Linked DNA regions of Lonchura striata. The protein of the gene in region 1 binds, or shares a complex with, the protein of each later gene. Links are inferred from orthologs where the notes say so. Each region holds a gene or a part of one and is shown on either strand. Other genes may lie near its edges.

The links.
Region 2: SNRNP40 (region 1) and SNIP1 share a complex: the UniProt entries of both Homo sapiens proteins name them as parts of the minor spliceosome. The link is inferred for Lonchura striata from reciprocal best matches to the Homo sapiens genes SNRNP40 and SNIP1.
Region 3: SNRNP40 (region 1) and RBMX2 share a complex: the UniProt entries of both Homo sapiens proteins name them as parts of the minor spliceosome. The link is inferred for Lonchura striata from reciprocal best matches to the Homo sapiens genes SNRNP40 and RBMX2.
Region 4: SNRNP40 (region 1) and PRPF3 share a complex: the UniProt entries of both Homo sapiens proteins name them as parts of the U4/U6-U5 tri-snRNP complex. The link is inferred for Lonchura striata from reciprocal best matches to the Homo sapiens genes SNRNP40 and PRPF3.

Annotation. Positions count from the first base shown.
Region 1 is NC_134628.1:6,738,785-6,746,423, forward strand, and holds the start of SNRNP40 (U5 small nuclear ribonucleoprotein 40 kDa protein), read left to right. Parts: upstream 1-4,624; 5' UTR 4,625-4,630; coding exon 4,631-4,846; intron 4,847-5,589; coding exon 5,590-5,719; intron 5,720-6,215; coding exon 6,216-6,309; intron 6,310-7,203; coding exon 7,204-7,369; intron 7,370-7,639. Other genes in the region: ZCCHC17 (zinc finger CCHC domain-containing protein 17), read right to left, coding at 181-281, 2,001-2,058, 4,046-4,087. UniProt on the Homo sapiens protein: Required for pre-mRNA splicing as component of the activated spliceosome. Component of the U5 small nuclear ribonucleoprotein (snRNP) complex and the U4/U6-U5 tri-snRNP complex, building blocks of the spliceosome.
Region 2 is NC_134628.1:4,688,612-4,695,658, reverse strand, and holds the start of SNIP1 (smad nuclear-interacting protein 1), read left to right. Parts: upstream 1-4,034; coding exon 4,035-4,174; intron 4,175-4,246; coding exon 4,247-4,349; intron 4,350-4,783; coding exon 4,784-5,352; intron 5,353-7,047. Other genes in the region: DNALI1 (axonemal dynein light intermediate polypeptide 1), read right to left, coding at 1,348-1,526, 3,396-3,565, 3,644-3,723, 3,812-3,892. UniProt on the Homo sapiens protein: Required for pre-mRNA splicing as component of the spliceosome. As a component of the minor spliceosome, involved in the splicing of U12-type introns in pre-mRNAs. Down-regulates NF-kappa-B signaling by competing with RELA for CREBBP/EP300 binding.
Region 3 is NC_134616.1:15,333,054-15,339,652, forward strand, and holds RBMX2 (RNA-binding motif protein, X-linked 2), read left to right. Parts: upstream 1-3,891; 5' UTR 3,892-3,903; coding exon 3,904-3,908; intron 3,909-3,987; coding exon 3,988-4,103; intron 4,104-4,174; coding exon 4,175-4,226; intron 4,227-4,294; coding exon 4,295-4,424; intron 4,425-4,524; coding exon 4,525-4,705; intron 4,706-5,247; coding exon 5,248-5,654; 3' UTR 5,655-6,090; downstream 6,091-6,599. Other genes in the region: RAB33A (ras-related protein Rab-33A), read left to right, coding at 421-648, 3,117-3,575; SLC25A14 (brain mitochondrial carrier protein 1), read left to right, coding at 6,487-6,550. UniProt on the Homo sapiens protein: Involved in pre-mRNA splicing as component of the activated spliceosome. As a component of the minor spliceosome, involved in the splicing of U12-type introns in pre-mRNAs.
Region 4 is NC_134635.1:2,813,106-2,820,185, forward strand, and holds the start of PRPF3 (U4/U6 small nuclear ribonucleoprotein Prp3), read left to right. Parts: upstream 1-4,068; 5' UTR 4,069-4,177; intron 4,178-5,858; 5' UTR 5,859-5,869; coding exon 5,870-6,014; intron 6,015-7,080. Other genes in the region: CIART (circadian-associated transcriptional repressor), read left to right, coding at 132-436, 677-752, 835-913, 996-1,260; MRPS21 (small ribosomal subunit protein bS21m), read left to right, coding at 2,069-2,151, 3,749-3,929. UniProt on the Homo sapiens protein: Plays a role in pre-mRNA splicing as component of the U4/U6-U5 tri-snRNP complex that is involved in spliceosome assembly, and as component of the precatalytic spliceosome (spliceosome B complex).

The DNA.
Region 1 (7,639 bases):
ACTTGCCTCTCTGTCTCTTGCTCTCTGGGGCCTGCTGGGAGCTGTGGCTGCAGCCCCAGCAGGGCCCTGCTCCCGCTCCCTTTGCAATGCCCCCGAGTGCCGAGCCCGGCTGCAGAGATCCCCCGCTCCCGGCAGGCTCCCAGAGCCCCGCAGCGGCGCCCTGCCCGGCACCGAGCTCACCTCTCTGCCGATCAGCTTCACCCACACCCTGTCCCCCACCGCCAGCATCTCCGCGGGGCTGTCCACGGGGCACGAGGACAGCTGGCTCCGGTGCACGAGGCCTGCGGGGACAGAGGGACGCGGGGACAGAGGGACACGGGGACAGAGGGACACGGGGATTAGGGGGGACATGGGGGGACAGGGGGGACAGGACATGGGGACGGGCATGGGGGGGCCAGAGAGGGACAGGAGGGACAGAGAGGGACAGAGGACAGGAAGAACGTTCACACCCGCCTTCCCGAAGGAATGGACCTTCCCATGCCATGTCGGAAGAATGTGGTGGGGCTCATAAATTAATGCATCAAATTGATAAATTTTCCGTAAATTAATTAATGAAATAATTAATAAAATAAAAGAAGAATTATAACATTATTAAAAATAATAAAATTAATAATAAATTGATGCAATAAAAATAAAATTATAACATAAATAGAATAATAAATAAATAAAAACAATAACATGTATACTAATTACTACATTAATAATAAATTAATACAATAAAATGACAGCATAAATAGAATTAATAATAAAATAATGGACTAAAAATTGAAGTATAACATTAATAAAATTAATCAAAAAATCAATAGAATAATATATTTAATAAAAAAATTATTAAAATATTAAATTCATTTTACTATAAAATATATGTTGTTATTTATTACTAATTGTGTTATTGATGTGATACTTTTATTCTATGAAATAATAAAATTAAACCACAGAATTAGTAATTGCATTAATAAACCAACAAAATAAAATAAAAACATTAATAAAATTAATAAATAATAAAATTAATCAACAAATTAAATGAATAAATAGAAGATAAATAAAATATAACAATTATTAGTGTTCAATTCATCCTCTACTCATCCTCTTATCAGTTTTACACAAACATTCCTGCACTAAACCTTGGATCTGCATTTCCAAAGTGCCTTGGAGCAGGTAATCCTTTGGGGTGTGGGAAGGATGTGGTTTTATTTATCAATAAATAGGATTTAAAAACTATTTGTTTTAAATCCTTTAAATTGAGTTTTATATTTATTTCAATTTCTATTCATTTATTTTTACTTTCTTTATTTTTATTTATTTAAAAATATGTTCCCTGCTACAATTTCTTCTGAAAACTTTATTAATTCCTTAGCTCATTTTTAATTTCTGTTTTTTGGTTATTGTTTTATACTGCAGCTACCACCAGTAAAGCTGCAGATGTTAATAAATTATATATTCTAATAAATATAGGAATATATCCTATATATATAATATATATACAGTAATAGATGTATCAAATATATATTACATATTATATATACAATAATATACATTATAATATTATATATTTGGTTATATATTTTATCTATAGTATATACAATTATATACCCTATAATATATATATTATATATGTATCTTTTATATTTTATATATAATAAAATATATTATAACCCATCTACTGTTATATATGTTATATATACCTTCTATATAACATATATAGTAAAATACAATACATATTGTTACTATACTTATTATTACTATTATTACTATTACTATTATTATTTAAGTTCCAGAATTTCCCCAAAACCCACCACAAAATATCCTTAAGTTACAAAAAAGTCCTTTGAGTCATTCTTGGTAATCATTCTACAGTCCATCATCTTCTAAATGCTTCCCAAATTTCTTCCTCATTTAGGAAAAAACTCCTTTTCTGATTTTTTTTCTGGAAGTTTTTAATTGTGAGGCGGCTGCTTGCCCTGGCCACAGCTCCATAAAACAGCTCCAGGGACACCAACCTTGTTTCCTGCAGCCAGGGATTCTGATAAAGGCCCCAAAATCCGTCACTGCAGCAACCTGGGGAGAAAATCAGAGCAGAGCTGCAGGAATCCCTTCCCAAAGGGGGAGAAATCACAGCAGAGCTGCAGGAATCCCTTCCCAAAGGGGGAGAAATCACAGCAGAGCTGCAGGAATCCCTTCCCAAAGAGGGGAGAAATCACAGCAGAGCTGCAGGAATCCCTTCCCAAAGGGGGAGAAATCACAGCAGAGCTGCAGGAATCCCCTCCCAAAGAGGGAAAAATCACAGCAGAGCTGCAGGAATCAATTCCCAAAGAGGGGAGAAATCATAACAGAGCTGCAGGAATCCCTTCCCAAAGGGGGAGAAATCACAGCAGAGCTGCAGGAATCAATTCCCAAAGAGGGGAGAAATCATAACAGAGCTGCAGGAATCAATTCCCAAAGAGGGGAGAAATCACAGCAGAGCTGCAGGAATCCCTTCCCAAAGAGGGAAAAATCACAGCAGAGCTGCAGGAATCCCTTCCCAAAGGGGGAGAAATCACAGCAGAGCTGCAGGAATCCCTTCCCAAAGGGGGAGAAATCACAGCAGAGCTGCAGGAATCCCCTCCCACACAGAGGAGAGTGCCCAGCTCCACGTGTGGAGATGGGCACAGAATCAGCCATGGCTGGGCAGGAGGGACATTAAATCCCACCCAGTGCCACCCCCACTGTCCCAGGTGCTCCAGCCCCAGTGTCCAGCCTGGCCTTGGGCACTGCCAGGGATCCAGGGGCAGCCACAGCTGCTCTGGGAATTCCAGCCCAGCCTCCCAGGGAACAATTCCCAATTCCCAAAATCCCATCCATCCCTGTCATGGTAACAGGCCCCTGGCTGGGCGATAATTAGCATTGATTCCATGATTCAAGAAGGTTGATCAATATCTATCTTTTTTAAGAAACCCCCCCACTTTTATAGACAGTTACAATACAGCTAGACTTAATTGCTCCTCTAATCAAACCACTATCACTACTGGCTAATTAAGAAACCACCCCTTGGTAAATAAATCCCCATAACACATTCTACATGTTCACAACACCAGGTGCAGCAAGTGAAGATAAGAATTGTTTCTCTGCTCTTCTCACAGCCTTGCCCAGCACAATGCCTGGGAATGCCGTGTTTCCCTCTGTGGGCACAGAGCTGCTGCCACACACAGCCCTGCCCTCTGGCAGTGGCACCAGGAAGAGCCCAAACCTTTCCACAAGCCCTGCCAGGCTACAAACCCCCCCTGCATTTTCCAGTGGGGAACAGCACTGGGTGCACCTGGAACCATCCAGGAAATCATTATTTCCTTTCCTTTATCCCTCTGGTGCAATGATTTTTGGTCCTGGTTCTCATCCTTGATTTAGGAATCTGAATCCCAGAGTGGTTTGGGTGGGAGGGAATCTCATCCCAGCCCAGGGACCCCTCCCACTGTCCCAGGTGCTCCCAGTGTCCAGCCTGGCCTTGGGCACTGCCAGGGATCCAGGGGCAGCCACAGCTGCTCTGGGAATTCCAGCCCAGCCCCTCCCACCCTGCCAGGGAACAATTCCCAATTCCCAATCTCCCACCCAGCCCTGCCCTCTGGCAGTGGGAGCCATTCCCTGGCTCCTGTCCCTCCATCCTTGTCCCCAGTCCCTCTCCAGCTCTCCTGGAGCCCCTCCAGGCCCTGCAGGGGCTCTGAGCTCTCCCTGGAGCTTCTCCTCTCCAGGGAGCACCCCCAGCTCTCCAGCCTGGCTCCAGAGGGGCTCCAGCCCTGCAGCAGCTCCGTGGATCCCTCTGGGCTCTCTCCAGCAGCTCCAGGTGCTGCTCCTGTTGGAATTCCGAGCTCTGAGGGTGGGGAACCCAGTGACAGAAGAGGTCGGAACTGCCTCTCCTCGGCTGCCCCCGCAGCTGCACATGAACAGCCCCCGGACACAGGTTGTGCACCTGGACAGAGCTGTGCATCCCCAGAGCTCCCCCGCGCTATCCCGACCGAACCCACGGAATGAATTCCCCCCGAGCTTGGCCCGGGCCGCGCCAGCCGTGCCGCACCTCGCCCTGGAAGATGGAGTAGAGCTCGGGAAGCGGCTCCATCGCCTCCCGAGGCGCCGTGACAGCCAGCTGGATTCACCCTCGCTACCGCATCTCCTCTGCAGGATGCTGAGGAAAGAAAAATTTCATTAACGCCCGAAAAGCCCCAGAGAGCACCCGGGGTTCAGCGCCTTGAGGGGCGCGGGGATTGGACCCGCAGTGCTGCGGTGAAGGACTGACCTGGACCGGCGCAGAGGGACAGGACGGCTCCTCCCGGAGCCCGCGGGGCGGTGGGGGCTCGTCAGCACCCGCGGCAGCAACACCAGCGCGCCGCCATCACCCCCTCACGCTGAGGGGCCACGCTCCTCGCCAATCACAGCGCGCAATGTTGCCGTGGGATGGTCCCGCAGCCAATCAGCGTTACCCATACCACCCAGCGACCGCTTTCCTCCAATCAGAGCGAAGCGCGCCAGAAGGCGCCGCGCTCCCCGCTCCATCCTCGGCGCAGCGTCGGGGGGTGGGACCTGCCCGGCGCTCCGCCAATCAGCGCGGCGGCCGCGGCAGCGACAGCCAATGGGGCGCGGGGGGCGGGGCGCGGCGGCCGCCATGATCGAGCAGCAGAAGCGGAAGGCGCCGGGCCCCGCGCCCGGGCCCGGTCCTGCCGCCCCCCCGGGCCCCACCGGCCCCGCCGCCGCCCCCGCGCCCGGCCCCGACCTCCCGCTCGTCCCCGCGCCCGCCAAGCGGCCCCGCCATGACCTGCCCGGGGCGCCGGGCACGGGCGGCGCGGGGGGACAGCCCGCGGCCGGAGCTCTGCTGCAGGCGGTAACGGGGGAACGTGAGGGGAGGGTGGGAGGAGATCGGGGTGGGACGGGAGGTGAGGGGACAGGAGAGGCCAGGCGTGGTTCCAGGAGCAGGGAAGGGCCACGAGCGTGGTGGGCTGGACACTGCTGAGGCACCTGTGTTAGGTTCTAGGCCCTCGGCTGGGGCCTGTCCGCGGAACGGAGCTGGGAAGGGAACTGAGCCCCAGGAGAGGCTGAGGGGGCTGGGAAGGGGCTGGAGAATCCCTGAGGGAGCTGGGAAGGGGCTCAGCCTGGAGAAAAGGAGGCTCAGGGGGACCTTGTGGCTCTGCACAGCTCCTGACAGGAGGGGACAGCCGGGGGGTCGGGCTCTGCTCCAGGAACAGGGACAGGAGGAGAGGGAACGGCCTCAGGCTGGGCCAGGGCAGGCTCAGGGTGGCAGCAGCAGGAATTTCCCCATGGAAAGGGTGACCCCCCCCTTTCCATGGGGAAATTCCTGCTGCTGCCCACCCTTGGCCTTGGAACTGCCCAGGGAGGTTTGGAGTGCCATCCCTGGAGGTGTCCAAGGAACGTCCTGGATGTGGCACTCAGAGCTCTGGGCTGGGGATAAGCTGGGGACCAGGTTGCCTCAATGACCTTGGAGCTCTTTTCCAGCCTCAGTAATGCTGGAATTCTGGTGGGATGTGCTGTGGGAAGGTGAAGATGCTCGGCAGGGGTGGCAGGCTGGCCTTGCCCCTTGTCCCCTCACGGTGTCTCGGTGTCCCCCAGGGCCCCCCGCGCTGTTCCTCGCTGCAGGCCCCCATCATGCTGCTGTCAGGACACGAGGGGGAGGTTTACTGCTGCAAGTTCCATCCCAATGGCAACACCCTGGCCTCAGCTGGCTTCGACAGGCTCATCTGTGAGTGGCACTGCTGTCCCCTGCTGTCCCCCGGGCTCAGGCCCTGTTGCTGGGGGGTTTTAGCTCAGCCCTCACCTGGCTGGGTTCTGGGTGTGAATTGCTCCCCCATGGGGGTGCAGGAAGCTTTTCCCAGCTGCTCTGGCAGGTGCCATCCTGATGGTGCTGGAAAAGTGCCTTGCTGGGTGCCAGCTGTGACCGCCCTGTGTCCCTGGCACACGGCTTCCAGAGGTCTGCAGAAATGCAGTTTTAATGCTTAGGCTTCCTGAGGCAAAAATTATAATTGTTCATAATAAACTCACCTTAACCAAGCTCCCTAAAGCTGCTCTGCCCTGGGGCTCACACGATGCTTTGTCACTGCTGTGAGTTGTCCCAGCTGGGACTCAGCAGTGGGGCTGGTCCATCCCCACTTTGCTGAATCCCCAAAGATCAGCTCCATGCACAGCAGGGGCTGTTCCCGAGCCTTTCCTGTGCTCACCTGTCCCTTGCTGTCCCCCAGTGCTCTGGAACGTCTACGGGGACTGTGACAACTTTGCCACCCTGAAGGGACACAGCGGGGCTGTCATGGAGCTGCACTACAACACGGATGGCAGGTGAGGGCAGGGGCTCTGTGCTGCTCAGGGACTCACTGCAGCTCAGGGAACAGGGCTGGAGCCCCAGGAGAGGCTGAGGGAGCTGAGAAGGGGCTGGAGCCCCAGGAGGGGCTGAGGGGGCTGGGAAGGGGCTGGAGAATCCCTGAGGGAGCTGGGAAGGGGCTCAGCCTGGAGAAGAGGAGGCTCAGGGGACCTTGTGGCTCTGCACAGCTCCTGCCAGGAGGGGACAGCCGGGGGGTCGGGCTCTGCTCCAGGAACAGGGACAGGAGGAGAGGGAACGGCCTCAGGCTGGGCCAGGGCAGGCTCAGGGTGGCAGCAGCAGGAATTTCCCCATGGAAAGGGGCTCAGGCCTTGGAACTGCCCAGGGGGTTTGGAGTGCCCATCCCTGAGGCGGCAGTCAGAGCTCTGGACTGGGGACAAGGTGGGGACCAGGCACAGCTTGGATTTTATGTTCTTGGAGCTCTTTTCCAACCTAAATGATTCTGGGGTTGTCACCTGTGCTCAGTCCATGGACACCAAGTCCTTGTAGTGTGGGCAAAGGATCTGGGGGCACCTGTGACCCCCCCCAGTGCCATTGATGCAGTTTTGGGGCACAGAGGGAAGTTTGTGTTGGGTGCCCGGGAGTCACTGGGGAGGGAGACAGAGCAAGTGAGATACTGGTTAATTTAAAAGGCTGTTCCACCATTGCTGCTGAGCTTTGCTGAGCTGTGCTCATCCTAGATGCTGCTTGAGGAGGCAGCAAAACCATTCACAGCAGGGATTAAGGGGAGTTTATCCATGCAGCTGTTCCAGTGTCAGTCAGTGTTTCAGGCGCCTCCAAAACACCAACAGGGGAGGTTGTTCCTGAAAGGAACTGGGAAGGGAGCTGGGCCCTCACAGTGGTTGTTCCTGCAGCATGCTCTTCTCAGCATCCACGGACAAAACCGTGGCTGTGTGGGACAGCGAGACGGGCGAGAGGGTCAAGAGGCTCAAGGGCCACACGTCCTTTGTCAACTCCTGCTACCCTGCCCGGAGGGGCCCCCAGCTCGTCTGCACGGGCAGCGACGATGGCACTGTCAAGGTCAGTGTGTGCCCTGGGCAAAGCCTAGGGAAAAAAGGTGGAGAAGCTTTTAGGATCTTCCCCTTTATCTGGGCTGATTTCAGCCTTTTGGTACTCGTTTCGTTAGCGCTCTGAGTTCAGAGGCAAAAATGTGACAGCAAATTTCACTGCTCTGTTTTTTCTGTGTTTCTCAGGGGGTTTGGGAAGCTTGAGCTGCTCAGCTGGGATTTTTCTGCTGCTGTGGCTCTGCACAGCTCCTGCCAGGAGGGGACAGCCAGGGGGTCAGGCTCC
Region 2 (7,047 bases), about 2.1 Mb from region 1:
ACAGATTTCAGTAAAACAATTGTATTATATTAATTGGGATACCAAGACTAATTAAACTCTACTTTTGCATTGTTTTCAACAGTAAAAGACAAATTCAGTATCATAGTTCATACATGGTGAGCAGAGTCAGTGGACTATGTTTTTAATGTAATTATTTAGAATCTGTTGTAGAACGAGAAGCTGTAAAGATTTCAAGAGCACAAATTCCCTGAACACTATCAAAGAAGGATCTTCCCATAAAATAACCCACCACAACAGAAACTTGACATTAAGCACTGTAAGGCAAACAGGAAGGTGTCAAGATGGAAGGTGGAGGTTTGGAATTAGCATAGGGGACAAAAACTCTACTGTGCAGACTATGGGAAAAGAAACAACTGCTTACACTCTGTGTAGCCTCTACACCCTTTTCTCCAAGTGGTCTTTACAACCTTTTCTCCAATTCCCTCACCCTTTTCTCCAAGTGGTCTTTGCATCCTATTCTTCAAGTCCCTCACCCTTTTCTCCAAATGGCCTTTCCACCCTTTTCCCCCAGTCTTTCCCCCTTTTCTCCAGGTGGCCTTTCCCCCAGCCCCTCACCCTTTTTCTCCAGGTGGCCTTTCCCTCCTTTCCCCGTCCCTCCCCCTTTTCTCCAGGTGGCCTTTCCACCCTTTCTGCCAGCCCCTCACCCTTTTCTCCAGGTGGTCGTTACATTCTTTTCTCCAACTCCCTCACCCTTTTTTCCAAGTGGTCTTTACACCCTTTTCACCAAGTCCCTAATCCTGTTCTCGCAGTGGCCTTTCCACCCTTTTCTCCAAATGGCCTTTACATCCTTTTATCCAGGTCCCTCACCCTGTTCTCCAAGTGGCCTTTCCACCCTTTTCCCCCAGTCCCTCACCCTTTCCCCCAGTCCCTCCCCCTTTTCTCCAGGTGGCCTTTCCACCCTTTCCCCCCTGTCCCTCCCCCTGTTCTCCAGGTGGCCTTTCCACCCTTTCCGCCAGCCCCTCACCCTTTTCTCCAGGTGGTCTTTACATTCTTTTCTCCAAATCCTTCACCCTTTTTTCCAAGTGGTCTTTACATCCTTTTCTCCAACTCCCTCACCCTTTTCTCCAAGTGGTCTTTACACCCTTTTCACCAAGTCCCTTGTCTTTTCTGCAAGTTGGCCTTTACACCCTTTTCTGCAAGTCCCTCATCCTGTTCTTCCAGTGGCCTTTCCACCCTTTTCTCCAAGTCCCTCATCCTGTTCTTCCAGTGGCCTTTCCACCCTTTTCCCCCAGTCCCTCACCCTTTTCCCCCAGTCCCTCACCCTTTCCCCCTGTCCCTCCCCCTTTTCTCCAGGTGGCCTTTCCACCCTTTCCCCACTCCCCTCACCCTTTTCTCCAGGTGGGCCTTGCCCTGCTCGGCCAGCAGCGCCTTGCGCACGCCGAAGGCCACGCTGCTCTCGTAGAGCGCCTGGTACGCGGCGAGCGTCAGGCGCAGCTCGTCCCGCACGCGCAGCAGCAGCAGCCCCCGCTCGGCGCAGCTCACCGTGGTCTGCCGGATCAGCTCGTCTGCAAGGGAGCAACACAGGCTGCAGTGCCCTTCTCTGGGACATGGCTGCTCCTCTCACCTCTCACAGACAGAGCACGGCTTTCCCAGGCAGCGTTCTGGGAAAGGCAGTGACAGGCTCAGAGAAAAGAATGAGGAACAGTTCTTATCTTGCTGCACCGGGTGGTGTGAATATGTGGGATGTGTTATGGGGGTTTGTTTACCAAAGGGTGGTTGTGGGAATCCAGGGCTTCCCTCTGGCTGCCCTGGCAGGTCTGGGACCCTGGCAGGGGTCAGGAACCCCCCTGGACAGAGCCCCCAGAGACACTGGCTGTGATCTCTGCCCATGGAAAAGAGTTTTCAATCTTACAGGATGAACTACCAGCTCTGAGTGTTTGATATAAGTAATAATTAAATGTAGCACAGGTACAGAAGTAAAATTTTAGAATTTTAGATTAGGGGTTCAAAGGGGACAAGATGGAGGAAATTGGGCGTGTCTTGTCCTTCTTCTTCATGCCCTCCATGTCTCACTGTGGTGTTGGCATTTTTCTATTGGTTTAGGCTGGAAACACACTATTCAATGTAAATAATAGATATTAGCACATTATTGTAAATACAGCACACATAGTTTCTGGTATTTAATGTTTGTAACATCCCACTGAGGGCAGAGCCCCACATGCTGCCCTGCAGGACAGAGCTCTGCAGCAGGGAAGCAGAACATAAGCAAAAATAAACAACCTTAAAAACCAGCACAGACAAATTATAGCTACTTCTTTAACAACAAGGCAAAAAAACAGAGACTCTTTACAATTTCAGAATCGTCAATACCACAAATTCCAACAGGTGTTACTTAATTAGCATCAACTTCATGGTGATGGTGTTTTAAGTAAAAGACCAATTAAGTCCACCAGTAGCAAACTAGGGTATAAAAAGGCAATGGGTTTCTTTATAAAGTAAATTATCAGCCTTCTATAAAATGCATGGAGTTCATGTCACTACTTACCCAGCTGGGGACCTGTTGCAGTGACACTCCACCACTCACTGTGCCACACAACTGGAATCACACACTGAATCACAGAGCTGCCAGGTTGGAACAGACCTTCGAGATCATCAAGCCCTACAACCTCACCAAGTGCCACATACAATCTTTTTTTAAACACACGAGGGATGGTGACTCCACCACCTCCCTGGGCAAACCACTCCAGCACTTTATCACCCTTTCTATAAAAAACTTTTTCCTAATACCCAACCTGTATTTCCCTTGGTGCAGCTTAAGCTTCCCTATTTCATGGCGGTGTAAAACAGGGCTTTGGAAGGGTAAATGTGGCCCTGAAGGGTCAGTGGGGTCCTGAGATGTAAATGGGGTCCTGGAAGAGTAAAGAGGGTTGTCAGAGAATAAATGGGGTTCTGGAAGGGTAAATGGGGCCCTGAGGGGAAAATTAAGTCCTGGAAATGATGCTTTAAGTTTTAGCTTTTGTATAGAAGGGTAAAGAGGGTTCTGAGGGAATAGAGAAGGTCCTAGGGAGGTAAATGCAGGCCTTTGGGGTAAATGGGCCCACATTTAGGACATGGAATGTCCTAGAGACAGTAACAATTGATTTGTTTAGTTCCATTGCAGCTGTAGCATTGAGTGCAGCAGGTAAAAGCAGAGCAGTGGTGCAGCTCTTCGGGCAATGCCAATGATGCTATCCCCTAAAGCTGCAACAGCAAGCACTCAAAAACGTGTAATGGACTTGTTGCAGTCATGGGGGAGCCCTCAGAGGTTCCTGTGTCATCAGTGTGTGACACACACACACGGCTCCAGGTTACTTTAAACAAACTTGGCTGAAGCGCAGCCAGGAGGACACCCGAGAGGATTGAGAGCTGTTTCCAGGTGCAGGCTGCGCACTGACCGAAGCACTGCGTGTAGAGCTCCCTGCGCACGGGGCACAGCCCGGTCTCCCGCGCCTGCCGCTGCTGCAGCTGCCGGTCCAGCTGCTCCTGCAGCTGCAGCACGTCCCGGCGGGTGCTGGGCGCGGTGGACACCTCCTGCACCCACAGCTTCTGCGCCTCCTCCCACTCCCTGCCAGAGAAGCAGCGGCCGTTACCGGGGCCGCCGGGCGCCCCGCGGCCCCGCCGGCCCCGGCCCGGCCCCGCTCACCGCGGCGGCAGGATGGCGTTCAGGAGCTCCTGCGGCTGCTGCGCGGAGGAGAGGCCGGCGGGGCCGCGCGGGGCCTGGCTCTGCGGGAACACGAGAGGGCAGCGCCGTGAGGGCGGCCGGGGCGCCGCGGCACCCTCGGCCCCCCGCGAGCCCCCCGCTGGCGCTCACCGCCGCGGAGGCCCGGTCTCCCCGGCGGGACACCAGCACGGGCGGGCAGTACCGCAGCAGCGACTCGGGCGGCGCCGCCATGGCGGCCGCGGGCCCGTCACCATGGCGGCCGCGGGCCCGTCACCATGGCGACCGCGCCGCCCGCCCCGCGCAGGCGCGGCCCCGCCCCGCGGGCGGAAGCGCTGCGGGCGGAAGCGGCGGCACTTCCGTGCGGGCGGGCGCCATGGAGGCGGCGGAGGAGCGGCGGAGAGAGCGGCGGCGGCGCCGGGAGGCGGCGGTGGTGAAGGCCGAGCGGCGAAGCCCCCGGCGCAGTGCGTCGCCGCCGGGCGAGGAGCGGCGGGGCCCGGCAGGGCGCGGCAGCAGGTAGGGAGGCCCAGCCGCTCGGCCCCGCGCTCGGCCCGGCCCCGCCGCTCAACCCCTCCCGTTGTTCCCCAGGTCGCCCCGGCGGAGGAGCAGGTCCGGGAGGAGGAGCCGCTCCCCGCGAGGCAGGAGGAGCCGCAGCCACAGCCCGCACCACGGCGCCGTGAGGGTAAAGCAGGTGAGTGGGGAGACTCGGCCGCGGCGGGTGCGGTAGGCGCCTCTTCATGTGTCAATTCCGACTGGGCCCTACATCGTGTCCCATGAGCAGAGAGAGGATCTGGGCCAGTCGGAGCTCCTGCTGCCCAGCTCAGGCTGTGCCACCCGTGGCTGTAGCTGCTCTCGGAGCCGTGCCCGTGGAGCTCCCATGGGAGCCCTGCTCCTGCCACAGCACAGGCACCCCTGGGAGCTGTGTCCTCTCCCCAGAGCAGGCTACACTCGCTGTTTCTGGTGCTTTATTCAGTGCCAGTTGTGGGAACCCAAGTAGGCTGGCAAGGAACTCTGTTCCACGTCGTGTCAGGGCTGCACGGTACATCCCAGTGTGTGTTTTCCCAGCGCGTGGCGCTGGGATTTTCCGAAAGGCTGAGCTGCTGCTCTCTGTGATCCTCCCTTCAGGAGCGAGACGATCACTGTCGCAGGGGCACCGAGGAGCGGAAGCAGAGGCACCCGGCGGAGCAGGAGCACCGGCGGGAGCGGGACAGGAGCGGGGAGCGGCACAAGGAGCACGCAGACAGGAGGAAGAACCCCGGTGAGAGGCCGGGAGCGCGCGGCCACGAGCGGGAGGCGCAGAGCCTGCGGGAGCAGCAGGCGGAGAGGGAGCTGCACAACGAGAGGCGGCGGGAGCAGCGGCAGAGCAGCGAGCAGAACGCAGAGCCCTGGCAAGCAGAGAGCAAACCCAAAGAAAAACCCGCTGCCAACAAGGAGAAGCCAAGCTTCGAGCTGTCGGGGGCGCTGCTGGAGGACACCAACACCTTCCGGGGCGTGGTGATCAAGTACAGCGAGCCCCCCGAGGCGCGCATCCCCAAGACGCGCTGGCGCCTGTACCCCTTCAAGAACGACGAGTTCCTGCCCGTGATGTACATCCACAGGCAGAGCGCCTACCTGCTGGGCCGGCACCGCCGCATCGCCGACATCCCCATCGACCACCCTTCCTGCTCCAAGCAGCACGCCGTCTTCCAGTACCGGTGAGAGCCTGGCAGGGCTTCCAAACGGGTTCCAGGTGGTTTTTGAATTGATAATGCAGTTTGTGGAGGTTTTTTTACCTAAGTAAGAAAAGTGAGTTTAGTTTGCATTTTTACAGTGTGTTAAAAGGTTACAAGAGTCTTAGGTTAAAAATGTTACCGTCTTCTAGTACCTCAGATGAGTTCTGAAGGGATTTGAGGTGGTTTTTGAATTGGTTTTGATAATGCAGTTTGTGGGGTTTTTTTTACATAAGTGGTAAAAGTGAGTTTAGTTCACGTTTTTTTATGGTATGGGTTAAAAAGTTAGAAGAGTCTTAGGTTAAAAGGGTTGCAAAGTTACAAGAGTCCTAGGTTAAAAATGTTACCATCTTCCAGTACCTGTGAGAGCCTGGCAGGAGTTCTGAACAGGTTTCAGGAATTTTTGAGTTGGTAATGCAGTTTATGGGGTTTTTTTTACGTAAGTAAGAAAAGTGAGCTTTGTTTGCGTTTTTACAGTATGGGTTAAAAAGTTACAGTACTTAGGTTAAAAGGGTTAAAAAGTTACAAGACTTAGGTTAAAGAGGTTACTGTCTTCCAGTACCAGTGACAGCCTGCGACAACTTCCGAACAGGTTCGAGGTGATTTTTCAGGTGATTTTGATAATGCAGTTGGTGGGGTTTTTTTTTACCTAAATAAGAAAAGTGAGTTCAGTTCACGTTTTTTACAGTATGCGTTAAAAAGTTACAAGACTTAGGTTAAAAAGGTTAAAAAGTTATGAGAGTCTTAGGTTAAAAGGATTAAAAAGTTATGAGAGTCTTAGGTTAAAAATGTTACCGTCTTCCAGTACCTGTGAGAGCCTGGCAGGAGTTCTGAATGGGTTTGAGGTGGTTTTTGAATTGATAATGCAGTTTGTGGGTTTTTTTACCTAAGTAAGAAAAGTGAGTTTAGTTTGTGTTTTTACAGTATGGGTTAAAAAGTTACAAGAGTCTTAGGTTAAAAAGGGTTCTGTCTTCCAGTACCTGTGAAAGCCTGGGAGGAGTTCTGAAGGGGTTTGAGATGGTTTTTGAGTTGGTTTTCATAATGCAGTTTGTGAGGTCTTTTTTAATGTAAGTAAGAAAAGTGAGTTTAGTTCATGTAAGAGCTCCCTGCATTTCAAATTCCAGCAAGGGAGGAAAGCAGCACACAAAGCAAGTGCCTTGGAATGGGTGGCTGGGAGGGGACAGTTTGCTGTTGGCACATGTCAAGTGGAATTTATGCTGCAGGTCATCCCAGCAGTGGCCAAATATATCTGAAATTCAGCTAGCAGCAAGCAGAGAAATCACACAGGGGGTTAGACACAGTGTGGGGTGTGAATCCAGGCTGGAGTCACCCAGCAGCTGTGATTGACTGGGAGCATTCACAGGAAACAGAAAACAGGGCTTTTTACCCCAACTCTGTGGGATGGGAACTGTTTCTTAATCCCAGAGAAGCACCCTGGGCATGGAGCCATCAGCTCCTGGGTGCTGCTGCCAGCACTAACAGCTTTAGCATCAGTCCCACGGATGTGAGAGCATTTCAAGGTTTGTGAGAGCATTTCAAGGAGATGTTGGTTTGTTTGCTCGCTGTGATGCACAGGAGTGTGGGTCTCAGATTCAGTCAAAGAAAGAAACTGAGAGTTTCTAGCTGGGCAGAAGCCTGGGAAAGAGCTGGACAAGAATGTAAATAATTCTTTGTCTCTCT
Region 3 (6,599 bases), on another chromosome or scaffold:
CGGTGCGTGGGGCGGTACCGTGTGGCGCCGGTCCCGGTACGTGGGACTGCACCGGTGCCGCTCCGCGGGGCGGGACCGTGCGGTGCCGTAGCCGGTGTGCGGGGCGGGGCTGTGCCGGTGCCGCTACGCGGGGCGGGACCGTGCGGTGCCGTAGCCGGTGTGCGGGGCGGGGCTGTGCCGGTGCCGCTACGCGGGGCTGCGCCGGTGCCGGTGCGTGGGGTGGAGCCGTGTTGTGCCGGTGCCGGTCCGCGGGGCGGGGCTGTGCCGGTGCCGGGGTGTGGGGCGGAGACGAGCGGTGCCGCTGTCCGGAGCTGTGCCGGTGCCGGTCGGCGGGGCGGACCCGGTGCCGTGCGGTGCCGCAGCCGGTCGGCGGGGCGACGCGCCCCGATGAGCCGGTGAGGCGGCAGCGGTGCGGGAGGGATGGCGGCGGGCGGCGGCGGCGGAGCGCGGCCGCCGGGCCCCGACCCCGCGCTGGAGCCCTACGTGCAGACCCGCATCTTCAAAATCATCGTGATCGGAGACTCCAACGTGGGCAAGACGTGCCTGACCTTCCGCTTCTGCGGGGGCACCTTCCCCGGCAAGACCGAGGCCACCATCGGCGTGGACTTCCGCGAGAAGACGGTGGAGATCGAGGGGGAGCGCATCAAGGTGGGCCCCGCACCGGCTCCAGGCCGGCCGACACCGGCTAAGCCCCCGCTGGGTCCCACACCGTGCGCTGGCCCCCGGCGGGGCTCGCTCGCCCTCTCTGGGTTCCACACCGGTTCCAGTGGGCCCCGCTCTGTCCCCGGTGGGCCCCGCACCGGCCCCGATCTGGCCGGCAGCAGCCCCAGCAGCGATGGCAGCCGGTCCCCATCCCTGCCTCTTGCCAAACCCCTCCTGGGGGCTTTTCCTTACAGCCCAGCTGGAGAGAGGGAACAGGGCCAGGGAAGAATTCTCATCCCTATGTTGCAGAGATGGCCCTGGACCAGTCCCTGCTGCCTTGTCACTATTTCTGGGGTTGGCTTGAGCATGCAGAGATCAGAAGTGATGGCTCGGGGTGAGTCACCGCCACCCTTGCGATGGGCACAGCTGGATCCTCGCAGCATTGGGGTGGCTCCAGCTCCCAACACTGGACCAGCGGAGGGGTAGAGCTGCGGTGGGATGGGGGACAGGACTCTGGGGGGCAGAGAGTGATGGGCTGGCAGCAGCCACACTGGAAGGCGGAGAGCTCACATGGGCCAGCGGCAGCGGGCTCAGTGGTGGCAGCAGCAGTGCAGGAACCTGCTCCCAGCTGCACCTGGAGCTGCGATTGCAGCAGGATGAATTTTCTTAGGAAGGCTGTGTGACACCTGTAAAGAATGATCAGCCCAGACCTGAAGAGCTCTGGCTGGTGTGTCAGAGCAATCTGCCACTGGTAGGAAACCCCTGGGAGCAGAGTCTGTGGTGGAGCTTGGCCTGCCCAGCTGTGGGGATCAGACTGGTGCTGGAAGAACAAACATCACTGCTGTACTGACAGATGGCTGATTGAAAGTTGAACTCACAATGAAACCCAATCTTGTGTTGGTGGGTGAGAGCTTTAGCTGTGCTTCTAGGCTGTCCATGAATGTTTTTCCCGCTCTCCTTTAGAGATGGTCATTCTCCCTGCCCTCCCTGGCTCTGTGCAGCCCCACGGAGCTGTGCTGGTGTGAGCTGTGGTGCAGGCTGGCATGGAGCCTGTGTGCTGCCACTAGCTGGAAAATGTTGCCAGGTTTTCTACCTTTGGATATTATTTGAGCTCCAGTGGGCAGGAGTGGGAGGCAGTGCAGCAAACTGGCCATTTCCTGGGATATGTATCCTAGAGAGGAGGTGAGAGGTGGACAAGGATCCTCCTTCTCTTGCTCTGCCTGGGAGAGACTGGCTCTGAAAGGGCTGAGCAGCAGCTCTGCTTTGCCAGCGTTTTTCAATTGGAAAGACTCCAAGGCAGGTACTGTCTCCATGGGTAGGGCAATTTGGATTAACTTGGAAATTGCCACTTCCAGGCTACAAAACATTACCAGGAGAACCCAGACTGACCCCCGGGGCACTCTGCTGGTTACCAGTGTTCAGCCAGACTTGGTGTCACTGGCCAGCACCGTCTAGGAGCAGATGACATTCAGCCAGTTCCCTCACTGTCTGCTCATCCAGCCCAGAGGCCTCCTTGCATCTCTGTCACCTGGGTCAGGAAGTTGTCATCGATGGTGTCCTGGAATGTTCTGGATTGCCTGTGCTCTGCTGTGCTGTCCTTCCATGAGATATTGGGGTGGCTGAAGTTCTTTGTGAGAACCAGGGGCTGCAAACACAAGGCTGCTGCTCACTGTCCACAGAGCATCTCATCTGCTTGCTCTTCCTGGCCAGGTGGTCTATAGCCAAGACCCCCTACAATGTCATCTGTGATGTTTCGTTCTTTAATCCTCCCCCATGAGCTCTGTTGGCTCCTCACCCATTCCCACAGAGCTCCTGGCCCTCCCACTGTACTCCTACACAAAGGGTGGCTCCCCCTCCTCATTTTTTCTTTTCCTCTGTGAAATCATCAGCATTCTCATTCATGGCGTAGGATTTGGTGCACAAATAGACATGGATCTGTTGGAATGAGTCCAGAGGAGGATGCAAAGATGCTCTGAGGACTGCAGCTCCTCTGAAGTCAGGCTGGGAGAGCAGGGTTTATTCAGCCTGGAGAAGAGAAGCCTCAGGGGAGACCTTAGACATGCTTCCAGTGCCTGAAAGGGCTCCAAGAGAGCCACAGAGGGACTTGGGACAAGGAATGGAGGACAGGATAATGACCTTAAACTGAGGGAGGGCAGGTTTAGATTGGATATTAGGAAGAAATTCTTGGCTGTGAGGATGGGGAGGTCCTGGCACAGGTTGCCCAGAGCAGCTGTGGCTGCCCCTGGATCCCTGGAAGTGCCCAAGTCCAGGTTGGAGAGGGCTTGGAGCAACCTGGGACAGTGGAAGGTGTCCCTGCCCATGGCAGGGGTTGGACTGTATCATCTTTAAGTTCCTTTCCAGTCCAAACCATGCCCAGAGAGCAGGAAGCCCTCCTGCAACCCCCTCCCCATAGCCTTGCCAGGGCCAGGCTCCACACTCCTGTAGCGTCTTTCCTTGTCTGCTTCGCTTCCCAGGTGCAAGTGTGGGACACAGCTGGCCAGGAGAGGTTTCGGAAGAGCATGGTGGAGCACTACTACCGCAATGTGCATGCCGTGGTCTTCGTGTACGACGTGACCAAGATGAGCTCCTTCACCAACCTCAAGACGTGGATCGAGGAGTGCAACGGGCACGCGGTGCCCCCGCTCGTCCCCAGGGTGCTCGTGGGGAACAAGTGTGACTTGAAAGACCTGATCCAGGTGCCATCCAGCCTGGCCCTCAAGTTCGCCGACGCTCACAACATGCTTTTGTTTGAGACCTCGGCCAAGGACCCACAGGAAAGCCAGAACGTGGACGCGATTTTCATGTGCTTGGTGTGCCGGCTGAAGGCGCAGCGCTCGCTGCCCTGCCGGGACACGGAGGGCTGGCCGGCGCAGCCCCAGCCGCAGCCCCGGCGGCTGGAGGAGGCCAGCGGGAAAGGCTCCTGCCCGTGCTGAGCGGGACCCGCCCGGACCCCAATAAAGGCTCTGAGCCCCCTGCGCCCCGACTCTTGCTTTGCCTTACCGCCTGCGATCGGCTCGGCTCGGCCGCGATCGGCTCGGCTCGGCGAGTAGCGCTCGGCTACAATCGGCCCGATTCGGCTACAATCGGCCCTGTTCGGCCGCGCTCGGGCTATCTCGGTTATTATTGCCCTGACTCGGTTACAATCGGCCCGACTCGGCCACACTCGGCTACAATCGGCCCGACTCGGCCACACTCGGCTACGTCCGCCTCGGCTCGGGGCGGGGCGGGCGTTGCGCAGGCGCAGTGCGCGCTGCCGCCGCCATGAAGTAGGTGTGAGGGGTGTGGGGGAAGGCCGGGCTCGGCTCTGTCCCGCCGGTGCCGGTGCTGATGGTGCCTCGCCCGCAGCCCCCTGACGAAGGTGAAGCTGATCAATGAGCTGAACGCGCGGGAGGCGGAGCTGGGCGTGCAGGAGGCGGTGTCGTGGCACGCGGAGTACAAGGACAGCGCTTGGATCTTTGTGGGTAGGGAGCGGGCCGGGGCCGGGACGGGAGCGGTGCCGGTGAGCCGTTCCTTCCCTCCCCTGTCCCCGCAGGCGGGCTGCACTACGCGCTGACGGAGGGCGATGTCATCTGCGTGTTCTCGCAGTAAGTGCCGCGGCCCCGGCCCCGCCGCCGCGGGCGCTGCCGCGGCGCTGACGGTGCGTGTGCCACAGGTACGGCGAGGTCGTCAACATCAACCTCGTGCGGGACAAGAAGACCGGGAAGTCCAAGGGCTTCTGCTTCCTGTGCTATGAGGACCAGAGAAGCACCATCCTGGCTGTGGATAACTTCAATGGGATCAAGGTGAGTGGGGCTCAGGTGCTGCCGTGGCTCCCCGAGTGCTCCCTCGGCTCGGCAGCGGCCCTGGGAGCTGGGAGCTGGCGGTGACAGCCCGGCCCCGCAGATCAAGGGACGGACCATCCGCGTGGACCATGTGGCCAACTACCGGCCCCCCAAGGAGTCTGAGGACTGGGATGATGTGACTAGAGCCCTCGATGCCAAGGGCTGTGGGGTGAAAACGCCACCTCACACCTCGTCCGACTCCCCGTCTGAGGATGAGGAGGTGCCCGTGAAAAAGCAGAAAGGTGAGGAGTGTTGCTGGCAGGTTGGATCCCAGGTGGGCGTGCCCATGGTAGGGTTTGGGGGCTGGAGTCTGCGTGGAGGGACGCTTGGAGGAACAAAAATGGGCACAAAATGAGGGTGGAAATAAGTTGTTGTGACAGAGTGCTGAGGAGATGCTCAAAAATGAGGGAGAAGAAGGAGAGCCATGAGGCCATGAGGCAGTCCTCAGGTCTGGAGAGATACTTTCCACAAAGTGGATCACAGTGTTACTGAGGAAAAGGAAGTTGGAAGTTCTCAGCATTCCTGGTGGTGTGGAAATGCCCAGCTTTGCTGGGAAGAACATGATGTGTATGTTCAAGAGAGAAGTGGGGTGGCTGCAGCTGGAGGAGAAAAAGTTGTGCTTAGAAGTGGACTGGGATCTCCCTGAGGTGGGAAGCAGGCTGGGAAATTAGGTGGAGGGGGAGAATTTGTAGTGGAAGAGGAGTTGGGATGGTGGCAGGGGAGCCATGGGGAGCAAGGTGCTCCTGGAGTTTTGTCAATCCCGAAATGTGAACCCTAATTCCAGAGAAGCAGCGGAGCAGAGCAGAACGATCAAAGTCGAGCCCACAGGCTGGGAAGCGGGTGAGCACGGAGGAGCCCCATCCCAGGATCAAGATCAAGAAGGAGAAGGAGGACCCCGGGTACGAGCGCTATGCTGGCGGGAGCACCGACAGGAGCTCCGGGAGCAGGACGCAGCGCGATGAGGAGCAGCGGCGGCACCAGCGGCACTCGGACAGCAGGGGGGACAAGAACTGCCGCGAGCAGAGGGGCCAGAGCAGCTCCTGGGAGGAGCGGGAGAGGAGGGAGGAGGCTGGCAGGAGGGGCGACGGGCACAGCAGCCGGCAAGACACGTCCCCCAGGGGAGACAGATCTCGGGAGCGCCATTCCAGGCACAGGGAGCGGGGCTCTGGCAGAGACTCCGGCCGCTGCTGAGCCCTCGGTGAGCATTGGGGTGAGGGAGGCTCCGAGCCTGCCTAAACCTGCTCCAAGCTCCTGGGATGCTGCGGCTGGACCTTTCACCTGGGAGCTGCTCCTTGCCTCTCATCCCACCTTGGGCCATGGCTCTCCATGCGTCCCGTGCTGCTGGCTGGGACAGTGGGTTGTCCCATGACCAAGGAGGGTGTCAAGCAGTGAAGGCTGGGAGCAGCAGCAGGATAATCCCCTTCCCTAAATCCCTTGGGGTGGTGTCTCCCTCTTGCTCTGGGGGCGGAGGCTGCTGCTGGGTGTCTTGTCTGGCCTCCTGGGCCAGGTTTGGGCCCAGTGTCATCTGGGATTCCATGATGTATCCACAGGGATACACTGCTGTGCTGGGGTGATTTATCATGGATTTGTTTAAAGGTTTCTTAATAAAAGTTGCTGTTAGGGCGAAGCTGGTTCCGGGAGCAGTGTTCCTGTCTGTGGCCAGGGAAGAGGTGTCATCTGTTTTTCTTAGCTGATTTTGGTCTTATTTGGCTGGAAAGCCGGGAGCGCTGGAGTGCGGGATTCGCAGGGCGGAGAAGGGAGGGGCTTTAGCTGGGTTTGGTTCGTGTAACGAGTAATGCCTCCGGTCCGGTCCGTGCCGGTTCTAGGCGCAAGGGGGAATTTCCGCCCCGGAGCCCCGGGACCGCTCCCAGAGGGAGGCGGGGGGCGCGCCGGGGCTGGGGTGGAGCGGCCCCGCGGCTTCCCGGGCGCGGTGCCGGCAGGGGGCGGGCGCGGCGCGGCGGAGCCCGGTTCCGGTTCCGGTTCCGGTCCCGGCCCGGTGGCGGCGGTGTCCGCCCGCCATGCGATGTCCGCGCTCAACTGGAAACCCTTCGTGTATGGCGGGCTCGCCTCCATCGTGGCCGAGTTCGGTGAGGCGCAGGGGCCGGGCGGGGCGGGGCCGGGCGGGGCCGGTACGTG
Region 4 (7,080 bases), on another chromosome or scaffold:
TGTGCCCCCCCGGGGCATGTGAGGCAGCTCCGGGGCTGTGGGGATGACATCCCCACGGGAGAACGAGGCAGTTCGTTGTCTTCCATTTTTGTCCGATATCCCCCCCGGTGTTTCCCTCCCTCCTCCCCCAGACAGCCTCGGCTGTTTGACCCTGCTGGAGCTGAACGCAGGGAGAGGCTCCCCTGCGGGGGCCACCCCCGCCATGGAGCCCCCCGCCCGCACCTGCTCCTGCGGCTCCCCTGCCTCCGACAGCGAGGCCGAGGCCGGCAGCTCCCCCCGGAGCCCCCCCAGACCCGAGCGCAGCCGCAAGCGCCCGGCGGGGCTGGACCGAGCACCCCCCGAATCGCCGCCCTCACCCCGCGGGGGGAAGCGCCCGCGGAAAGGAGAAGGGGGGGATGTCCCTCCCAGCGATGGCGATCGCCTCTTTGCCCAAAAGGTGAGTTTTTTGGCAGAAAACGAAGGGGCACCCCCAAAGATGGGAGGTGAGGGAGGGCTTGGTGTCCCCTCAAAAAACCCCTGGGTCTGCCTCAGTTTCCCCACTGAAACGGGCGGGTGGGGATGAGCAGGATTCGGGGGGTGAGAGGGAGGTAAGTGGGGTGTGAGGGGGTGCACCAGACCCCCTCTCCAGTCTGGGTGCAGCCCAGTCACCTCCTCCTCTTCCTCCTCTTCCTCGCAGTGCCGGGAGCTCCGGGGCTTCATCCGGCCGCTGGCCGAGCTGCTGGAGGGGCTGCGGCGGGGCCGGTATGACAGAGGTGGGTGCCCCCCACACCCTCCTCCTCCTCAAAGCATCCCTTTCCCTCTGGGGAAAATTCACCCAATTTCGGGACTCCCCAGGGCTGAGCAGCTTCCAGCAGAGCGTGGCCATGGACCGGCTCCAGCGGATCATTGGGGTCCTGCAGAAGCCAGAAATGGGGTGAGGGTCCCCAGCTATCCCCGGGGGGGGCGGGCACGGGGACACCTCCTCCGCAGAGGGTGACAGAGCTCTCTCCCCGCAGTGCCCGCTACCTGGGGACGCTGCTGCAGGTGGAGGCGATGCTGCGCCTCTGGTTCCCCCACGTCGCCCCCAAACCCACGCTGGACTCGACCCCCTCCACGGCTCCCCCGCGCCGCCGGCCCCCCGCCGGTCCCCCCGGGGCTCCCCGGTGCCGCCGCCTGCCCGGGGACCTCCCCCTCGCCAGCCCCGCGGGGACATTACAGCAGCGGGGGTCCCCCCGGTGCCAAGCCGGGACCCCCGAGTCGCCCCCAGCGCCGGACGTGTGACGCCCCCCCCGGCTCGGGGGGGGGGAAGATCTCGTCTGCATTTCTTGGTTTTGCCTTTTTTGATTTTTTTTTTTTTTTTTTTTTACGGGTGGTCAGTGAGACCCGCGGGCGGGCGGGACTGACCGGGGGAGGGGTCCCGACCCCCCTCCCCACCCCAGAAGCCCCAACCGCGGGGCGGCCGCGTGCCTTGGCCGGAGCGGAGCCCCGTCCCCGCGGGGACCGGGCTCTCCCGGGCTGGTGCCTTCCCCCCGAGCGGTGGGTGCGGAGCCCCGAGCGGGGCGGGCGCTGCTGGAGCAATAAACGCCGCGGGAGCGGCCGGGGCCAGCCGCTGTCGTGTCCTCTGTGCCTGGGCAGGGCGGGGGGTGCGCTCCCGTCCCGGCGGGCTCACAGCCGCCCCCGGTGCCCCGCTGTCCCCCGGCCCGGCTGCGGGCGGGACAGCCCCGGGAGCGGCACGGGTTCCGCCGGTACCGGGGCTCTCCCCGCCGGAAGTCCCGGCGGTAGCGGAAGTCCCTCCCGACGGAAGCTCCTCCATCAGTCACGGGGCTGCGGAGCTTCACCGGGGTCAGCTGGGGAGAGCAGCGGCACCGGGACCCGACCGGGGCACGGCACCGTTCGCGGGGCGGCGGGTCCCTTGGGGCTCTGCGGGGGGAACCGAGCCCTCCGTGTCCCCGGGAGAGGGCGGGAGGGACCGGCCCCTCTCCGTACCCGGGGTTCCCTGCCGTGTCCCGGGGCGGGGGGAGGAGGGACGGGCTCCTGCGGGCGCCGGGGCTGCCCGGTCCCAGCCGCTCCGTCCCGCAGCAGCGCGGCCATGGCGAACCACCTGCGCTTCGTGGGCCGCACGGTGATGGTGCAGAACGGAAACGTGGAGGCGGCGTACGGCGTCCTGAACAGGTGAGGATCGGGGGGAACGGCGGGGTTTGGGCCCCGAGGGGCTCCGATTCCTTCCCGTGCTGGGTTCAGAGCCAGAATTTCTGGAGCAGAAGGTGACGGGAGGGTGGTGCGGGGCTTTTCCCATGAGCTCCACGTCCCACCGCCCCCTCGGATGGGCTGTAAGCAGCGTGAAATCGAGGAAGAGCTGAGCGCTGCTTCTCGGGGAGCTCTGCGCTCACACACCTTCGTTGGAGCCGCCTTAAACGGAGCTCGGGGGGTTCCTTCCCCTCCTCGCGGGTGGACGGCGAGGAGACCGAGCCGAGGGTCCGCACCGGGACCGAGCCGTGCACAGGGTCCGCACGGAGACCGAGCCGAGCCAGGGTCCGCACGGGGACCGAGGGTCCGCACCGAGACCGAGGGTCCGCACCGGGACCGAGCCGTGCACAGGGTCCGCACCGGGACCGAGGGTCCGCACGGGGACCGAGCCGGGCCCAGGGTCCACACCGGGACCGAGCCGTGCACAGGGTCCGCACGGAGACCGAGCCGTGCACAGGGTCCGCACGGAGACCGAGGGTCCGCACCGGGACCGAGGGTCCGCACGGACCGAGCCGTGCACAGGGTCCGCACCGGGACCGAGGGTCCGCACGGAGACCGAGCCGTGCACAGGGTCCGCACGGAGACCGAGGGTCCGCACCGGGACCGAGGGTCTGCACGGACCGAGCCGTGCACAGGGTCCGCACCGGGACCGAGGGTCCGCACGGGGACCGAGCCGTGCACAGGGTCCGCACCGGGACCGAGGGTCCGCACGGGGACCGAGCCGGGCCCAGGGTCCACACCGGGACCGAGCCGTGCACAGGGTCCGCACCGGGACCGAGCCGTGCACAGGGTCCGCACCGGGACCGAGGGTCCGCACGGGGACCGAGCCGGGCCCAGGGTCCACACCGGGACCGAGCCGTGCACAGGGTCCGCACCGGGACCGAGCCGTGCACAGGGTCCGCACGGAGACCGAGCCGAGCCAGGGTCCGCACGGGGACCGAGGGTCCGCACGGGGACCGAGCCGGGCCCAGGGTCCACACCGGGACTGAGCCGAGCCCAGAGTCCACACCGGGACCGAGCCGAGCCCAGGGTCCACACCGGGACCGAGCCGTGCACAGGGTCCGCATGGGGACCGAGCCGAACCCAGGGTCCGCACCGGGACCGAGCCGAACCCAGGGTCCGCACCGGGACCGAGGGTCCGCACGGACCGAGCCGTGCACAGGGTCCGCACGGGGACTGAGCCGAGCCCAGGGTCCACACCGGGACCGAGCCGTGCACAGGGTCCGCATGGGGACCGAGGGTCCGCACGGGGACCGAGCCGTGCACAGGGTCCGCACCGGGACCGAGGGTCCGCACGGGGACCGAGCCGTGCACAGGGTCCGCACCGGGACCGAGGGTCCGCACGGACCGAGTCGTGCACAGGGTCCGCACGGGGACCGAGCCGAGCCCAGGGTCCGCACGGGCCGAGCCGTGCACAGGGTCCGCACGGGGACCGAGGGTCCGCACGAACCGAGCCGTGCCCGTTCCTCTCTGCTCGGCAGAGCCTTCCCCGCCGCTGTCACGGCTCTCTCCCCTCCCGCAGGATCCTGGCGCAGGACGGCGTGGCCGAGGCGGTGCGGCGCTCCCGCTACTACGAGAAGCCGAGCCGGGCGCGGCGGCGGCGGGCGTTCGAGGCGTGCCGGCGGGTGTACTGCGCCGAGATGGCGCGCAGGATCGCCTTCCTGGCGCGGAGCGCCCGCCAGGACCCGTGGCCGGGCTGCTGAGGAGCGGCCGGCCCCAATAAAGAGCCTTGGTTCCCGTTAATTGAGTTTGGTTAATGACGGTCTGAGGGGGCGGGGGCGGGGCTGAGCGTGGCCACGCCCCTTGCCGGGTTCGCGCGCGCCCCGGCCCCGCCCTCCCGCGCGCTCCGCCGCGCAGGCGCCGCGCGGCCGTTTCCGCTTCCTCCCCGACGCGCCGTCACCGTCAGGGGCCGCCGGGCCGGGCCCGGGACCGGCGTGAGGGAACGGGGCCGGTGAGGAACACTGCGGCTCCCCGGAGGGCATGGAGGCAACGGGGAAAGCGGGCGGGCTACCGAGAGGGAGGCAGGCGGTGGCGGAGGTGGCCCCGGGCCCGGCCCGCGCGGAGCCGCTCGCCCGGCGCGCCGCGCTGAGGGGGCCGGGCCGGGCCCCGGGCGGAGCTCCGCGGCAGCGGGGCACGCCGGGCCCTGCGGGGCTGCGCGGGAGCGGGGTCGGCAGGAGCCGCGTGTCTGCGGTGGGACCGAGCTCCGTCCGTCCGTCCGTGTGAGGCCGGAGCGGGCGGCGGAGCCCCGGCGCGGTCGGGCGGTGCTCGGACTCGTTCATTGATCCTGATGCGGGTTCCGGGAGCTGCATCCCCACGAGCTGCTCCCCGCGGTGGCTCTGCCCGCCCGGTGTGGCACGGAAACAGCCGGGGAGCCGCTGCCTCCCCTCAGCTCCTGCTGGAGCTCAGGTCGGGGGAAGCTGGACCGCCTCTAATTACACGAGTTTTGTGGTTTATTATGGGTGTGCTCAGAGCTGTCGATGTGTCGGGGCCGTAATTTGTTAGTTCTGCTTGTCCTTAGCCTGTGCAGGCTCAGAAGTCGTGGGGAAATGCCAGAATCCGGGTTTGGGCTCTATTTGAACCTGTCTCTAAGGAAGCTGCCAGGAAAAGTAGAGCCTGAGGAGGTTCCCAGGCTCTGGAGGGAAACCAGAGCCGTGTCCTCTGTGGAGGACTGCTTGGTAGGACAGTGCAGATTCCCCAGCTCCTGGGGCCCTGCAGGAAGCAGCAGTCACCTCCTGGAACTGCTCATGGACCTGAAATCAGGGGATCTGTGTTAGGGATGACCCCAGGGCCCCATTCCCAGCTCCAGGAAGGGTAACTGAACACCATTCCCAGTTCCAGGAGGGATAAATGAACACCATTCCCAGCTCCAGGAAGGATAACTGAACCCCAGGACCCCATTGAACCCCAGGGCCCCATTCCCAGCTCCAGGAGGGATAACTGAACACCATTCCCAGCTCCAGGAGGGATAACTGAACACCATTCCCAGCTCCAGGAAGCACAGCTGTGCCAGGTGTCTGTTCCCACAGCCCCACCTGGGTGCCGTGGTGGGGCTCAGCCCTAAGGAGATTTTGCCAGATCCGATTAGGGCCCGGAGCCAGTTAAAAGCAGTTGCAGCTGCAGCCCAGGCTGTGAGTGCTGCAGGATGTGAGGGGCTGTGACTGCCAGGGAGCTGCCCAGATCTGGGGCTGCACGCTGGGGAAGAGGCTCAGATTGTTTTGTGTCCCTGGCGTGGGCTCAGTGGGAGCAGGGGGGTTCTGTCCCACGCGTTCCACTCGCAGTGCATCTCTCTTCCCAACCCCTGGAGCATCCCATGGAGGGATTTGGGGAGCTCAGAGGCTTTGTCACCGGGCTGGCAGCACAGAGAGACATGGGGAGCTCAGGGAGGAGCCAGGGTGGGAAGGGTTATCCTGAGAACACGCATTGCTGTCTGGTTTTGGAAGCACTCTGGTGTGTCCCTCTAGGATCCACAGCAGGTCCTGCGTCCCCTGTGTGGGGTCAGGACCTCCCTCCTCACGGGGTTTGCCTCGTTTTAGCCCGCAGGGGAGCCCACGAGAGCTTTTCCCAGCCGTGGAGCTGATCCTGAGGGTGAGGACACCCCAGGCCCGTGTTTGACGCGCTGTGTCTCCTCGCAGCCCGAGCAGAGATGTCGCTGTCCAAGCGCGAGCTGGACGAGCTGAAGCCATGGATCGAGAAGACGGTGAAGCGTGTGCTGGGCTTCTCGGAGCCCACCGTGGTCACCGCCGCGCTCAACTGCGTGGGCAAGGGCATGGACAAGAAGAAAGCGGCCGGTACGTGCGCAGCCGGGTCTGTAAAACAGCCCAAAACCTCGCCAGGGTGGAGGGGCAGGGGCACAGGGCAGTTCTCTCAGCCTCCACGAGGTGAGTAGGGGGAAATCCCTCAGACCAGACTCAACTGGAGGCCTTGGGATGTGTTAAAAGATCTGATGAGGAAAAATTAATTCCTTATTTGAGGAACTGTAAAAGGTAATTTTTTAGTGTGCTTTAGAAAGCGGCTGGTACGTCCGCAGCCAGGTTTGTAAAACAGCCCAAAACCTCGCCAGGGTGGAGGGGCAGGGGCACAGGGCAGTTCTCTCAGCCTCCACGAGGTGAGTAGGGGGAAATCCCTCAGCCCAGACTCAGCTGGAGGCCTTGGGATGTGTTAAAAGATCTGATGAGGAAAAATTAATTCCTTATTCGAGGAACTGTAAAAGGTAATTTTTTAGTGTGCTTTAGAAAGCGGCTGGTACGTCTGCAGCCAGGTTTGTAAAACAGCCCAAAACCTCACCAGGGTGGAGGTGCAGGGGCACAGGGCAGTTCTCTCAGCCTCCACGAGGTGAGTAGGGGGAAATCCCTCAGACCAGACTCAACTGGAGGCCTTGGGATGTGTTAAAAGATCTGATGAGGAAAAATTAATTCCTTATTCGAGGAACTGTAAAAGGTAATTTTTTAGTGTGCTTTAGAAAGCGGCTGGTACGTGCGCAGCCAGGTTTGTAAAACAGCCCAAAACCTCACCAGGGTGGAGGTGCAGGGGCACAGGGCAGTTCTCTCAGCCTCCACGAGGTGAGTAGGGGGAAATCCCTCAGCCCAGACTCAGCTGGAGGCCTTGGGATGTGTTAAAAGATCTGATGAGGAAAAATTAATTCCTTATTTGAGGAACTGTAAAAGGTAATTTTTTGGTGTGCTTTTTTTGCCCGTTACAGCCTTGCTTTGCTTCTGCATGGACTGGACCCCCTTAATCCCTTAGTTTAAAGCTCCTGACAGCACAATACACAGATCCCAGAGGCTTCCAGGCCTCCCTGTGCTTGTAGACTTGAATCACTTAAACTGAAGTGGTTTTTACATCTTCCATGTGGAT